Linked DNA regions of Sus scrofa. The protein of the gene in region 2 interacts with the protein of the main gene of each other region in a pairwise test. Links are inferred from orthologs where the notes say so. Each region holds a gene or a part of one and is shown on either strand. Other genes may lie near its edges.

Evidence for each region.
Region 1: the proteins of MCMBP (region 2) and ASL interact in binary tests that used the Homo sapiens proteins (3 or more experiments, as listed by UniProt). The two-hybrid records come from large-scale screens. The link is inferred for Sus scrofa from reciprocal best matches to the Homo sapiens genes MCMBP and ASL.
Region 3: the proteins of MCMBP (region 2) and PRTFDC1 interact in binary tests that used the Homo sapiens proteins (3 or more experiments, as listed by UniProt). The two-hybrid records come from large-scale screens. The link is inferred for Sus scrofa from reciprocal best matches to the Homo sapiens genes MCMBP and PRTFDC1.

Annotation. Positions count from the first base shown.
Region 1 is NC_010445.4:16,636,169-16,640,368, reverse strand, and holds the start of ASL (argininosuccinate lyase), read right to left. Parts: upstream 2,889-4,200; 5' UTR 2,773-2,888; intron 2,591-2,772; 5' UTR 2,548-2,590; coding exon 2,536-2,547; intron 675-2,535; exon of another isoform or gene 1-674.
Region 2 is NC_010456.5:129,739,346-129,743,710, forward strand, and holds the start of MCMBP (mini-chromosome maintenance complex-binding protein), read right to left. Parts: upstream 2,861-4,365; 5' UTR 2,650-2,860; coding exon 2,592-2,649; intron 1-2,591. UniProt on the Homo sapiens protein: Associated component of the MCM complex that acts as a regulator of DNA replication.
Region 3 is NC_010452.4:50,455,788-50,459,099, reverse strand, and holds the end of PRTFDC1 (phosphoribosyltransferase domain-containing protein 1), read right to left. Parts: intron 3,162-3,312; coding exon 3,085-3,161; intron 1,865-3,084; coding exon 1,817-1,864; 3' UTR 613-1,816; downstream 1-612. UniProt on the Homo sapiens protein: Has low, barely detectable phosphoribosyltransferase activity (in vitro). Binds GMP, IMP and alpha-D-5-phosphoribosyl 1-pyrophosphate (PRPP). Is not expected to contribute to purine metabolism or GMP salvage.

The DNA.
Region 1 (4,200 bases), on a different chromosome or scaffold from region 2:
GGCCACCCTCTGAAGGAGGTACCAGTGCTACTGCGCCACAGAGAGGGGCAGCCCGAGGCGCTAACCCCACACCCCATCAGGGCCTCTGCTTGCTCTGCTGCTCTGAACTTTTGCTTCAGGGACAGCGAGGAGGCACCTGAGGGGCCCCCTCAGTCTCACGCTGCCTGGGTCTCCCTCCCCCAGCTGGGGGTGGGGCTAGGTTCCCAGCGTCCCCCTCCCCCTCTGGAGAGCCCCCTGAGGCACCCTTTGTTATTGCCTTCTGGGAGGTCACTGGCTGACCCTCTGCCCCCCTGGAGCCAAGGGCAGAGGGATGGGACAGAGATACCTCTGTTTTGAAAGAGGGCATAGGTCAGGGCATGGGACAGATGGGGGAGGGGGCGCAGAACCCCTGAGGGGCAGTGAAACGCCCAGCATGCCAAGGGAGGTATGCCAAGGACATGTGTCAAGGACGGGAGGAGGGGGTGCTGGGCGGAGGTGGACATGTTACTTCACTGACATCTTTTCTGTGGAGGGGTGGTTTACAGTGGCCTCCGGGGGCATATGTTCTCCTCTGTCCCCCGGCAGTGTCCCAAACCTGTGTTAGCCTCTTGACCATACGTATGTTGTGTAATCTCTCTAACCCTCGGGGTTGCCTCTCTATGAACTAGGAATAACAATAACACCTTTTTGATGGAGTTGCGAGCGTTCAATTAGATTAAGCTAATGGCACACAGAGCACAGTAAATTCTAGGTAAATTCTTGGCCGGGGGCTGCCAGGGTCTGGGTGTGCCTTAACTCCACTCCTGGCACCATCGAGACCTCCACCATGCTCTGGACCCAGGCTCTGAGCTGACCCTCAGTGTGCAGCAGCCTTGGCTGCCAGAGGACTCTGCCCTGCAGATGCAGCTTCTGTGCCCCTCAGAGGCTGGACCCGCTGCTCAGCCCTCTACTGCCCAGCCAACCCTAGACCTCCAGCAAAGCACCACGTGAGGCCCTCCCTGGTCCTCAGCACGGGGGTCAGAGGGCCAGGCAGGGCCAGCCAGTCAGGACAGGGAGTCAGCCTTTCAGCCAGTGGCTGGGCAGCACCTCCCCAGCAGGTCCCTGGACTCCCTTCATGGGTTGTTCGTAATAACAACTACTTAACAAGTGGGGCTGCAGCCAAACCAATTAGTGCCAACCCACAGGACAGCCTGGGGCAAGCAGAGTCTCCTGAAGGAGGCCTACTCCGCATTGGACCTACTCCGCATCGGACCGAGCTTCTATCCCACTGGCAGGCCTAAAAGGACCCCAGGAGGATGTCAGAGTGAGGTGCCACCTCCTGGGCACTGAGTGAGGAGCCGGGTGGTGGGAGAGGGCTTTGTAAGCCAGAGCACATCTGGGCCAGAAGGGTCCCTTTGGGGCAAGGGCACAGGGACACCAGGTTGGGCTGGGATGAGTGAGCAACAGCCAATTTTGAACACCCGTGGGGAATAGCAGTGTTGTCACTCTTCGTGTCATTAACACCGTTTATTGAGCACCTACTATTGTGGGGCCCTGTGCTAGGCACTCTCCAGACGCTATTACACCCTCCCAGGAGGTGGGCACTGTTACCCCTATTTTACAAATGAGGAAAGAGGTTCAGGGAGGTTGAGTAACTACTTCAAAAACCAAGTCTCTTTGAATCCAAAGTCCAGGCCCTGCCATAGACCCTCCACCATGACCCAGAAGCCAGCAGGGCCGGTGGTCTTAGCCACTTTACTCAGAAGAACAAACTAAGGCCCAAAGAGGAAGTGACTTGCCAGCTCTGGAGGGCCAGAAGGGACTGGAACCCAGACCTCCTGCTCCCCAGGCCCAGGATTCCCTTCACTGGGATGGAGCAAACAGCCCCTTTTACCTGACGGGTTCAAAGCAATGACTTCATGATCCAGTACCTCACAGAGGCAGACAGACAGCTGTTATTATTCCCATCTGCCAGATACATCAACTGAGGCCCAAGGAAGGGAACCTGTGTCTTGGCCTCCTGCCACTGTCAGGACCCAGGAGTCCTCTGGCTCTGAGGGGGAGAGGCCAGTGAGACCGGAAGCCACCAGGTACTGGGGCCACAAGGCACAGTCCCCTACCTCCCGGCTCTTAACACAGGCAAGAGTCACGTGGACTCTGCTACACAGGCACCAGTTGCTACCAGGAGAGGGGAACACGATGGGGATTGACGGGGTGGGGTGGGGAGGAATGAGGAGGTAAGGGGGCTGAACGAGTGGGCAGCACCTTTTTCCTCCTGGCTTAGACCACTGTCAAGTCAGGTCAGGGGCACCCTCCTCAGCCGTGTGAGTTGGTAGGTTAGCCAGGGGAGGAGGGAGAGCAGACGGTGGTGGGGACACCGGGAAGTCAGGACAAAGTTCTTTCCTGGGGCTCTGGCAGGTGCGCCATGGGATACCCACCGCCTGGAGCCAGCGAAGACAATTACCAGGAGGGCGGCGGGAAGATCGCCTGCGCAGGTCACGCCCCGACCGGCCCCCAGGGCGCCCCACCCCTTCCTTTGGAGGCTCGGCAGATAGGCGTCCCCGAGGTCCCACTAACCTCTGATGCCATGTTGGGCGGTTCCTCGTCGTCCGGGAGCCTCAGTCCTCCGGGTCTGGAAGACAGGACAGGACTGAGGACCTCCTCGGCCCCCTGGCCGGGGGTCCCTGGGGCGAGGCGGCTCCAGGTTGGGGCACGGCGCTTGGTGTAGGCGGACGTGGGCAGCCCTAGCGCGCTCGTCCGGGTCCTCTACGTCCTCCGCTCCCGCCCGCCCCGCCTGTCCAGCCGCACACTCACCACCGCCAGGCTGCGCCGTGCGTCTCTCGGAGCCACCCGGCTGGGCTTTTCTGGCCGGGAGCGTCAGCCCCTGCCTGGCTCTGCCCCCTCCTCCTGGCAGCAGCCGCACCAATCCTGGCGGCCCGGCCTGGTGGGCGTTGCCTCTTCCCTCCAATCCGGACTGTGGGCGGAGCCGCCTCCGAGCTGCTCGGGGCTGATCCACCACAGGTAGGGAACCGTGAGGGTGGTGCCTGAGCGACCGTGCTCGAGACTGCAGACTGCCGCGGGCACAGGAGGGAGACCTAGGCTAGGGATAGAGGCAAAGACACTGGGCCGGGCCTGGCGGGCTCACTAGAGGTATAAGGTGAAATGGCATGCCCAATCTTTCATTCATTCAACAAGCACGTTCCCGGCACCTCTTCTGCACTAGATACAGAGTTAGACACTGAAGAAATGATACCTGCGTCAAGAAGCTCTAACAAAGCGTGGACAAGGTGTGCAGGGAGCACAGAGGGCAGTGCAGGGCGGGGCGTTTATCTGGGGGTTCTCAGGGGTCCTTGACACGACTTCAGCACGAATGAGAGCCTGGGTTCTAGGCGCCAGGAGTACAGGCTCGAACTTCTGCCCTGGAAGTGCCACATTCTGGGGGAGATGTCCCCTGAGCTGCGTCATAGAAGATGGGTCATTTTGCTTTTAGCTCAGCGAAAAAGGATTAGAACATTCCCTGCAGGGGGAGCAGCCTGGGCAAAGTCCTCGAGGCCAGAGACCAGAAGGTGAATGGCTTGCTTGGAGAACAGGAAACCGTCAGAGAGCCTATCACACAGGGTCAGGGGCTTGAGGACAGGGGTGGGGAGGAGAGGTGGGAAGCAGGCTGGGGCAGGTCAGGGTCTTGAATGTCAAAGGAGAAGGTTTGGTCTTGGTTCCATAGGTCATAGGGAGAAAAGACTTTTTTGTTTTTTGTTTTTTTTAATAGTTAACTTTCTTTTTTTTTTCCTTTTATTTTCCCACTGTATAGCAAGGGGATCAAGTTATCCTTACATGTATACATTTGTTCCCCCACCCTTTGTTCTGTTGCAACATGAGTATCTAGACATAGTTCTCAATACTACTCAGCAGGATCTCCTTGTAAATCTATTCTAAATTGTGTCTGATAACCCCAAGCTCCTGATCCCTCCCACTCCCTCCCTCTTCCATCCGGCAGCTACAAGTCTATTTTCCAAGTCCATGATTTTCTTTTCTGAGGAGATGTTCATTTGTGCTGGATATTAGATTCCAGTTATAAGTGATATCATATGGTGTTTGTCTTTGTCTTTCTGGCTCATTTCACTCAGTATGAGAGTCTCTGGTTCCATCCATGTTGCTGTAAATGGCATTATGTCATTCTTTTTTATGGCTGAGTAGTATTCCATTGTGTATATATACCACCTCTTCCGAATCCAATCATCTGTC
Region 2 (4,365 bases):
CTATAATTTTACTTGGAGCAGGAGGTACCTAACTCAGGTTCCCAAAGGATGAGTAAGACTTAGCCAGGAAAGTAGAAGTGGGATAGGAAGGGAGGACCAGGCAAAGGAAACAGCCTGTACAGAAGGCGCAGAGGCAAGGATCAAAATTGAAGAACTGAAAAAAGGTTCAATATGAGGGGGGATACAGTAATGACGTCCGAGAGCTGGGCAGGGGGGGCCAAAAAGGTCTCACAAACCACAACAGATGAGCTTTCCTTTTCTATCTGGGGGAAAACGGATTTAAAACAACTTCCTACTAAATCAAAGAGTCCACAAGCTTAACACCTAACTTCCCACACAAACATACCTGCAATGCTGTTATTATTATAGATATTCAATATATGCACAGTGTAGGGAAAATAGAGCAAAAATATATACTACACGCCAGAAGAGCTTCCAGAGAAACATCCCAACTGTAAGACAGTATTAGTTTCTTCTCTGTAAGACACAATCTGTATGAGAATAAGACATTCCAGAGCAAACACATAAAACAAGGTGCAGGTTCCCACAATAGCCCACCAACTTTACAAATGCTGTAAATCCAGTATTTTATATCCAAAGTACACCCTTTTTGTACTATAATGTGACATGCCCCCTTAGGATCACACACATAGGGGATAAAATCTGACACAAATACATTTGAATCTATACCAAATATAAAATAATCTAATTTATCCAGCAAGACTAGGGTAGAGGTATTTCTCACAAATTTTTTTTTCCATCTTTTTAGGGCCACACCCCCACAGCATATGTAAGTTCCCAGGCTAGCGGTCAAATGAGAACTGCAGCTGCCAGCCTACACCAGAGCTCACGGCAACACTGGATCCTTAACCCACTGAGCAGGGTCAGGGATGGAACTGGAGACCTCATGGATACTAGTAGGGTTCGTTAAGGCTGAGCCACAATGGGAACTCCACAAAAACTTACTTTTGAAAGACATTTCCGAATAAGTACCCATGAGTCTGCATCCTCTTAAGCCAATTGCGCAATTTTTTTTTTTTTTTTTTTTTTTTGGCTTTTTTAGGGCCACACCTGCAGCATATGGAAGTTCCCAGGCTAGGGGTTGAATAGGAGCTGCAGCTCCATGCCTACATCACAGCCATGCCAGATCTGAGCTGTGTCGGTGACCTATACCACAGCTCTCACTGAATCCTGGACCCACTGAGCAAGGCCAGGGATCAAACCCACATCCTCATGGATACTAGTTGGATTCGTTTCCACTTCACCACAATGGATACTCCCTGCAATTTAATCTTTACTCCACATTCTGGGCCATTATTTTGGAAATCAATGATAAGTTCCCATACTCATTATAAACAACAATTACCAGTATATAGTAGAGATAAATGCCCCTTCCTCAAAAGCACCCTTGATGGATATACACTGTTGTTGTTTTTTAATTTAAGCTACATACAGATTTAATTTCTTCTTTATCAGATTGTCACTCCTCATTAGCTACAATCCAGATGCCAACCCAGGCCTTCTAATTTGCTGCCTCTAGCTTCTGCCTAGGAAACCAGATAGCTATACTAGTTCAAGCTATAAGGAAAATGAATAAAGAATTGCTGAGTGAGTCTTTCCCACAAGGAATACATACATTTTCTGCCTTCAGTTTCGGCTGCTGGAAACAATTTAGCTTCTTAATAGGCATTCTCATTAATATCCCACGATGCCTTAAGTGATGAAGGCCACTCTACCTACAACTTTGTTACCTCCTGACAAGTCAGGTGTTCTGATCTAACAGTGATTGCTGGCTGGGTTTGCCTCCACCCCTCCTAAGTGCAAAAGACATGGAAAGTAGGGCCAAAATGCCCAGGTAACGGCAAACAAACCTAAATTTTCCTTAGTGGACCCTAGCAGAAGAGTGGCATTGACGATAATTCCAACTAAAATTTACTAAGCCTGTCTGCAACATTCTGAGCTCTTTCTATGTAGGAACGCATTTAAGGAGTTCAACATTTCTTACTAGCTCTGGCACAAGGAGGAGATGGAGACCAAGCGGTTTTAAAGGCATCCCAAAAGAAAAATGAAGCTATTACACTAAATCTTATCTCGAAACGCGAGGATGTGTGTAATACAGGAGTTGGAGCCAACTTCTGCTGCGAGCGAGCGAGCGAGCACTCCCCCGACACACCGGAAGTTTTGAAATACCCCGCAGGCTTCCCATAGGCAAAGTGCTTTTCCTTCACCCCATCTCTGCGAGCCCTCCCCAAGGTTCAAGGACCCGTCCGAGTTTTGCCGCCGGGCTAGGGCCCCAGCAGTGCCACCAAGGGAAGCCGGGCCGTCAATCACGGCCGGCCGCCAGCTCCTCGCCGCGTAACCTTGGCCGCTCGCGAACCGCGAATCGGGCAGGTGGGAGGCACCTGCGGCCCGGCCCGGGAAGCCGCGGCCCGCGGTCCGGGGTGTCTAAGGCGGACCGGCGCAGGCCCGGCTGACCGTCTCGGCCGCGCGAGCCCTCGAGGTGGCCCCGCGTGGGGCCGCGCAGCGGGGCCGGGCCCGGGGCTCGGTCAACTCGGCGGCCCGCCCGGCCCGCCCCCGGGGCCGCCACTCACCGAAGAAGCCCTGCACGATCCCCAGCGGGTGGCTGAGCCAATCCTCCCCACAGGGCATCTCGCCGACGGGCCGGAGCCGGCGCGGCCCGGCGTCCCGCGCCGCGGCTCCTCCTCGGGGGCTCGGCCGCTCCTCGCCCGCGCCCTCCCACGCAGGGTGAGCCTCGCGGCACCGGCCGCTCGGCCTCCCGGCGCCTCAGAGAACAGCGGCTGTGGCAGCAGCAGCCGAGGAGCTGCCGGCTACTGGCAGGCGCCGCGTGCGGAGCCCCCAGCCTCCACTTCGCACAATGGCGGGAAATAGGCGCCGCCGACCGCGCTGCCTGCGACCTGGGTGGAGCTCGCGCGGGGAGGGGCGGCGGGAGCGCGCTGCGCGGCCCCGGGCGGGAAGGCGGGGCCGGCCTACTGGGCGGGGGGCCGGCCGGCCCGGGGCGGGGCCGCGGCGGCGGAGCGGTCGCCATCTTGGAGACGGGCGAAAGGAAGGGCAGGCGCGGCCTCCGGAGCTCCGACCCTGGCGTCGGGGGCTGAAGGCGAGTGGTGCTGGGTGTCTCTCGCTGCCAGCTCGAAGGGGGAGACTCCCGAAGTCCGGTTCGTTTTTCATGATGCGAGGCCTTGCACGGTTTGGAGGCTGTAGCAGTCCAAAAGCACAAACCCAAAGAGACTTCAAAGTTATCTCTGGGCAAAATTAGAGGATAAAGCAGCCTTTCGTGTCTGCCCACCTTCCTCTAATTGCCTTTCTTTTTTTTTTTTTTTTCTGATGGCAACTCTCTTTCGTTCCCTGCCCAAAACCCTATGCAGTGACTTGCCCTCAGATGAAGTCTCAGCCCCCCAGGCAGGTGTGTGTTTAGATAGGGGAATTTGAAAGTCTGCAAGCTCCCTTTGCTGCCATCTCAGGCCTTGTAGAGGGACTAGGTCCTAAGTGAGAGGCAAGTTCATAACTGTGAAAATATACCCTGCCTAGAAGCTGGAAAGTGCGCTTTGGGGAGGTTCCTGCAGAATGTGTCAGGATACCCTCAGACAGTGGTAGCACACACAAGATAAGTCAACAGTAACCTTCGAATGAGGAAATTTGGAAATACCCAAGTTCTGTAGTGAAATAGTTTCCCCTAGGCCTGGAATAGGTCTGAGAAAACCCTGCTCATCAGCTGAAAACAGGTCGTGTTAAGAGAGGAAGGATCTGAATGGAGCCCAGAAAGCGGGCAGCTGGAGAACTGAGCTCAGATCTCAAGACCTCTTAGGGGCCAAAGGGGGTGTTTTTATTTGTCATCTTCAACTATTTATTCTCCCCATTGGTGGGGTGGGGGTTGGGGAGGTCAAGGTTGGTTGAATTGAGGATGCGGAATTTGCAAATACAGGGGGCAGAGTACTTTTTTTTTAAACAGCTGCACCTTTATGAAAGTTCCCAGTCTAGGGGTTGAGTCCGAGCTGCAGCTGCTGCCTATGCCGCAGCAGCACCGGATCCGAGCTACTTGTTTGACCCACGCTGTAGCTTGCAGCAATGTCCCATCCATCCTTAACCGCTGAGTGAGGGCTTGGAGCAAACCCACATCCTCACAGAGACAATGTTTGGTCCTTAACCCACCAAGCCATAAAGAGAACTTTTTTTTCTTTCTTTCTTTTTTTTTTCCAATTGTCTGGCTGCACCTGGGGCATATGGAAGCGCCCAGACCAGGAATTGCATCTGAGCCACAGCTGCAACCTACATTGCAGCATCCCTGGATACTTTAGTTCTTTAAACGACTGTGCTGGGCTGGGGATCAAACCCATGCCTCCACAGCCA
Region 3 (3,312 bases), on a different chromosome or scaffold from region 2:
CTAACTAGAATCAAGCTACAGTCCTCAAAAATGATGTTTACTAAATTGCAACATTTTAAAGAAAATACTTTAATACTATATACGTTGTGGCTAAGTTTATATTTAAAATCAAATGTGTTTGGATTTTTCTAGGTCCTCTGCTATAAATGTGGCAGGGTGAAAAATTATATTTAGAACATTAATTTTGATAGTTCAAGAAACTGGCCAGTTGGAATTATCAACCTATAACTTGGATAACAATGTTTCTGCGGAACGAAGCTAGAAGAAATTCCCTTTGCTGCTTTGCCCCTTGGGATATCTGGGTGTGGTTTATTTTCTTCTTTGACTAGAATAAAGATATGCAGGAAAATCTTCCTTTACAAATAAAATTCCTTGTTCTTACAAATAAGCTTAAGAAGGGAAAAAAAAAAAAAAAAGCAGCAAGCAGCATATCAAGCCTGGCTTAATCGTTTGCTTATACTGGTGCATATACTGGATATTTTCCAGGTTAACAAAAATAAAGCCACAGGGAAGATGTATGCAGCAGTATATTTAAGCTACTGGCTCACACACATTTTAATGGCGGAAAGTATATAAAAAATATGACGGCGGAAGAAAAACAGTAAGCAGTTATGAAACGTAACAAGTGTTCTTATTCTTTATTAGTTTAAAGGAAGCTGGAACTTGATAACAATATACCACATACGGTTCAGAACCAAACAAAGTCTGCTTAGTTATTTACTTTGCATTTGCTCCTTTTAGGAAGTGAGAAAAAAAACCCGGCTCCATTGGCACTCAAGTTTATTTTCAATTAAAATCCCCATAAATTAGAAAACATCTCATGAAACAGTGGAAATGGAGAAAAAAATGTTACTCAGAAAAAACTTTAAGTATCCAAGTCTTCTACGGTGCCTTGGATTGTGGGATCAAGTCTTACAAGGCCACTTTAAAGAAATGATTCAACCTCTGTGCTCATGTTTAGGATAATACAGAAAAATGTCCTGCCCTCTGATGGAAACACAGGAAAAATTTATACGTGCTTAGTTTTGAGCATTGAAAACACTTCTCCCCGCCCCACAATTCTGCTCATGTCCCACATGAGTTAAAGGATGCCCCTTAGAAACCAGAGCTTTCTGCCATTGTATTTTTTCTAATTAAAATTCAGAGTATTAAACACATCCATGCATACATGACATACCCTTATCACGTACCGGAAGCTCCGATCAAGAGCACTGGCAAAGGCCTATTTCATAACATCATTAAGATTCACTGTATGCGGCTGTTCAGAGAGGCTTTGTCAAAGCAGATAATAACGGCCTGTCAGAAGTGCGCAAACAGAAATTTATATTAAATTGTCCTTTCCCTCCTTTACTAGTGTGGGAATCTAGTTGCATTTCTAGCGTATGGGCTCAGAGGTTCACATAAAAGGCTTCTAGGTTTTAAGATTGTAAAGTAGAGTATTTAAAAAAAATAGTTAAGTGAAAACTATTTGAGTTAGTAGGTGGGGGTATAGTAATCACCCATAATGACTTTATCAAAACAAAAGAAAGTATATCTCAGGGGTGTGAAGGTAGATGGAACTTATGAGTCACAAGGTGGAGTGTTTAATTTGAAACAAGGCAAATAAAAGCATTGCTTTCTTTTCCTGAAGAACCTTTGGGACTCTTTACGTTATAGTTATAATCTCAGAAAATAAAGCCTGCTCATTAAATTTTTTTGTTCTTTTAAATCCTGCTGAGTGAAGATGCCTGGGAGACAAACTTTACATGCTGGCTTCCTGAGTGTAGTCGTTAAGTAGGAATGTTATCTGCCGATTCGATGGCGAAAATTTACTTCTTTAGACTCGATACTTTTCTTTGCCGTGTTCATTGATCACACATATGTGCTGAAACAATAAAGGATTTAAATGCATCAATTTCTTAACACAATATGAGGTGCAGAAAATGGGATGCAGTAAGAGAACAGAATGTTATCTTGTACTTGACTATTGTTCATTTAAATACATACGTATCTATATGTGTGTATACATACCTATATGTATATGCATATACATACACATGCAATATAGGTATACATGCACATATATGTAAAATCTCAAGAGACCCGTTAAAATGCTTGGCAAAGATTTCCTCTCTGTTTTGGTTTTGAGCTCTTTTCTGAATCTGACTCTGTAGGTCTGTAACAACCAGAAATGCTGAGGGTGGGAGATTACAGTTAGCAGTGACGGAGACATACGTCTCCTACCAGTGAAATTACAACTCCTGCAATGAGTGGACCACCAGCCACGGTAATCACAGTGCTGACTCTCCTCTGAGCCCTTTTGGGTAGGAAGAAACGTGTCAGAAATATTCTGATGGCAAGCAACAGAAATGGTGTCAGGTTACTGTCAGCAAAGGAAGTGGGGTGTTGTTGGTAAGAGACTGGAAGAGCTCACAGAGGCAGAGGAAGAGCAGAGTAATGAAGCAACTGGAAAGCAGGAACGGGGTTGGGGGGCGCTCCAGACCTCAGCCCATGGCTTAACGCCCAAATCCCTTGGTCTCTGCGGCTTTTCGTTTGTGTCTAATTTCTAGGGGAGAGAGGGAGAGACTGCTGGGTCCATGCACTTTGGGTAAGACGTCTACCTCTGGGTCCTTCATCAGCAGCCAGGGTCACACACCCGGGGGCCCACGTCTACGTGTTTAAAATCATTTCTCCAAAAGTGGGGAATAGTCATGAGCCACATGCTGCTGTAATTGATATCTTCTAAATTTCAAGCACTGACACAAAGTAGTTTATAGAATATCAACTATTATTCTAGTGGGGTGGAGACACAGTCGATGACTGTGGAGAAAAAAGTCACTAACAAGCTATGGTTCTGCTTTAAACGTCCTTATTTCCTGAGTACAAAAGAGAGATAATCATAACTGCTTCCACCATGCTACACCTACCTTGGGGATTCACTGGGATTCACTGGGATTATGAATGCCAAGTGCCTAGAATGTTCCTGACACAGAAGATACACCATAAACGGCAGCCATCATTACAACTATTTCAAAAATGTGTTAAACTGATACCACTCTTAAGTTCTTGTAAAAAGGGGGCTAGGGATTTGCATGCAAGACTTACATTCAGATCTCTGAAGTATTCATTGTAATCTAAGGCATAACCCACAACAAATAAGTTTGGAATCTCAAATCCAGCATCTGAGCAGGGAGAGAGAGGGAAAAAAAAGGAACACAATTTAAATAAGTATAAAGCCTACGATATGTTATTGCTGGCATTTAACCTGTGAGGACCTTCCGTTAGGCAGAAATAAGTGGAAAAAGTGATCAGCAATGCATACGATGAGCCCAA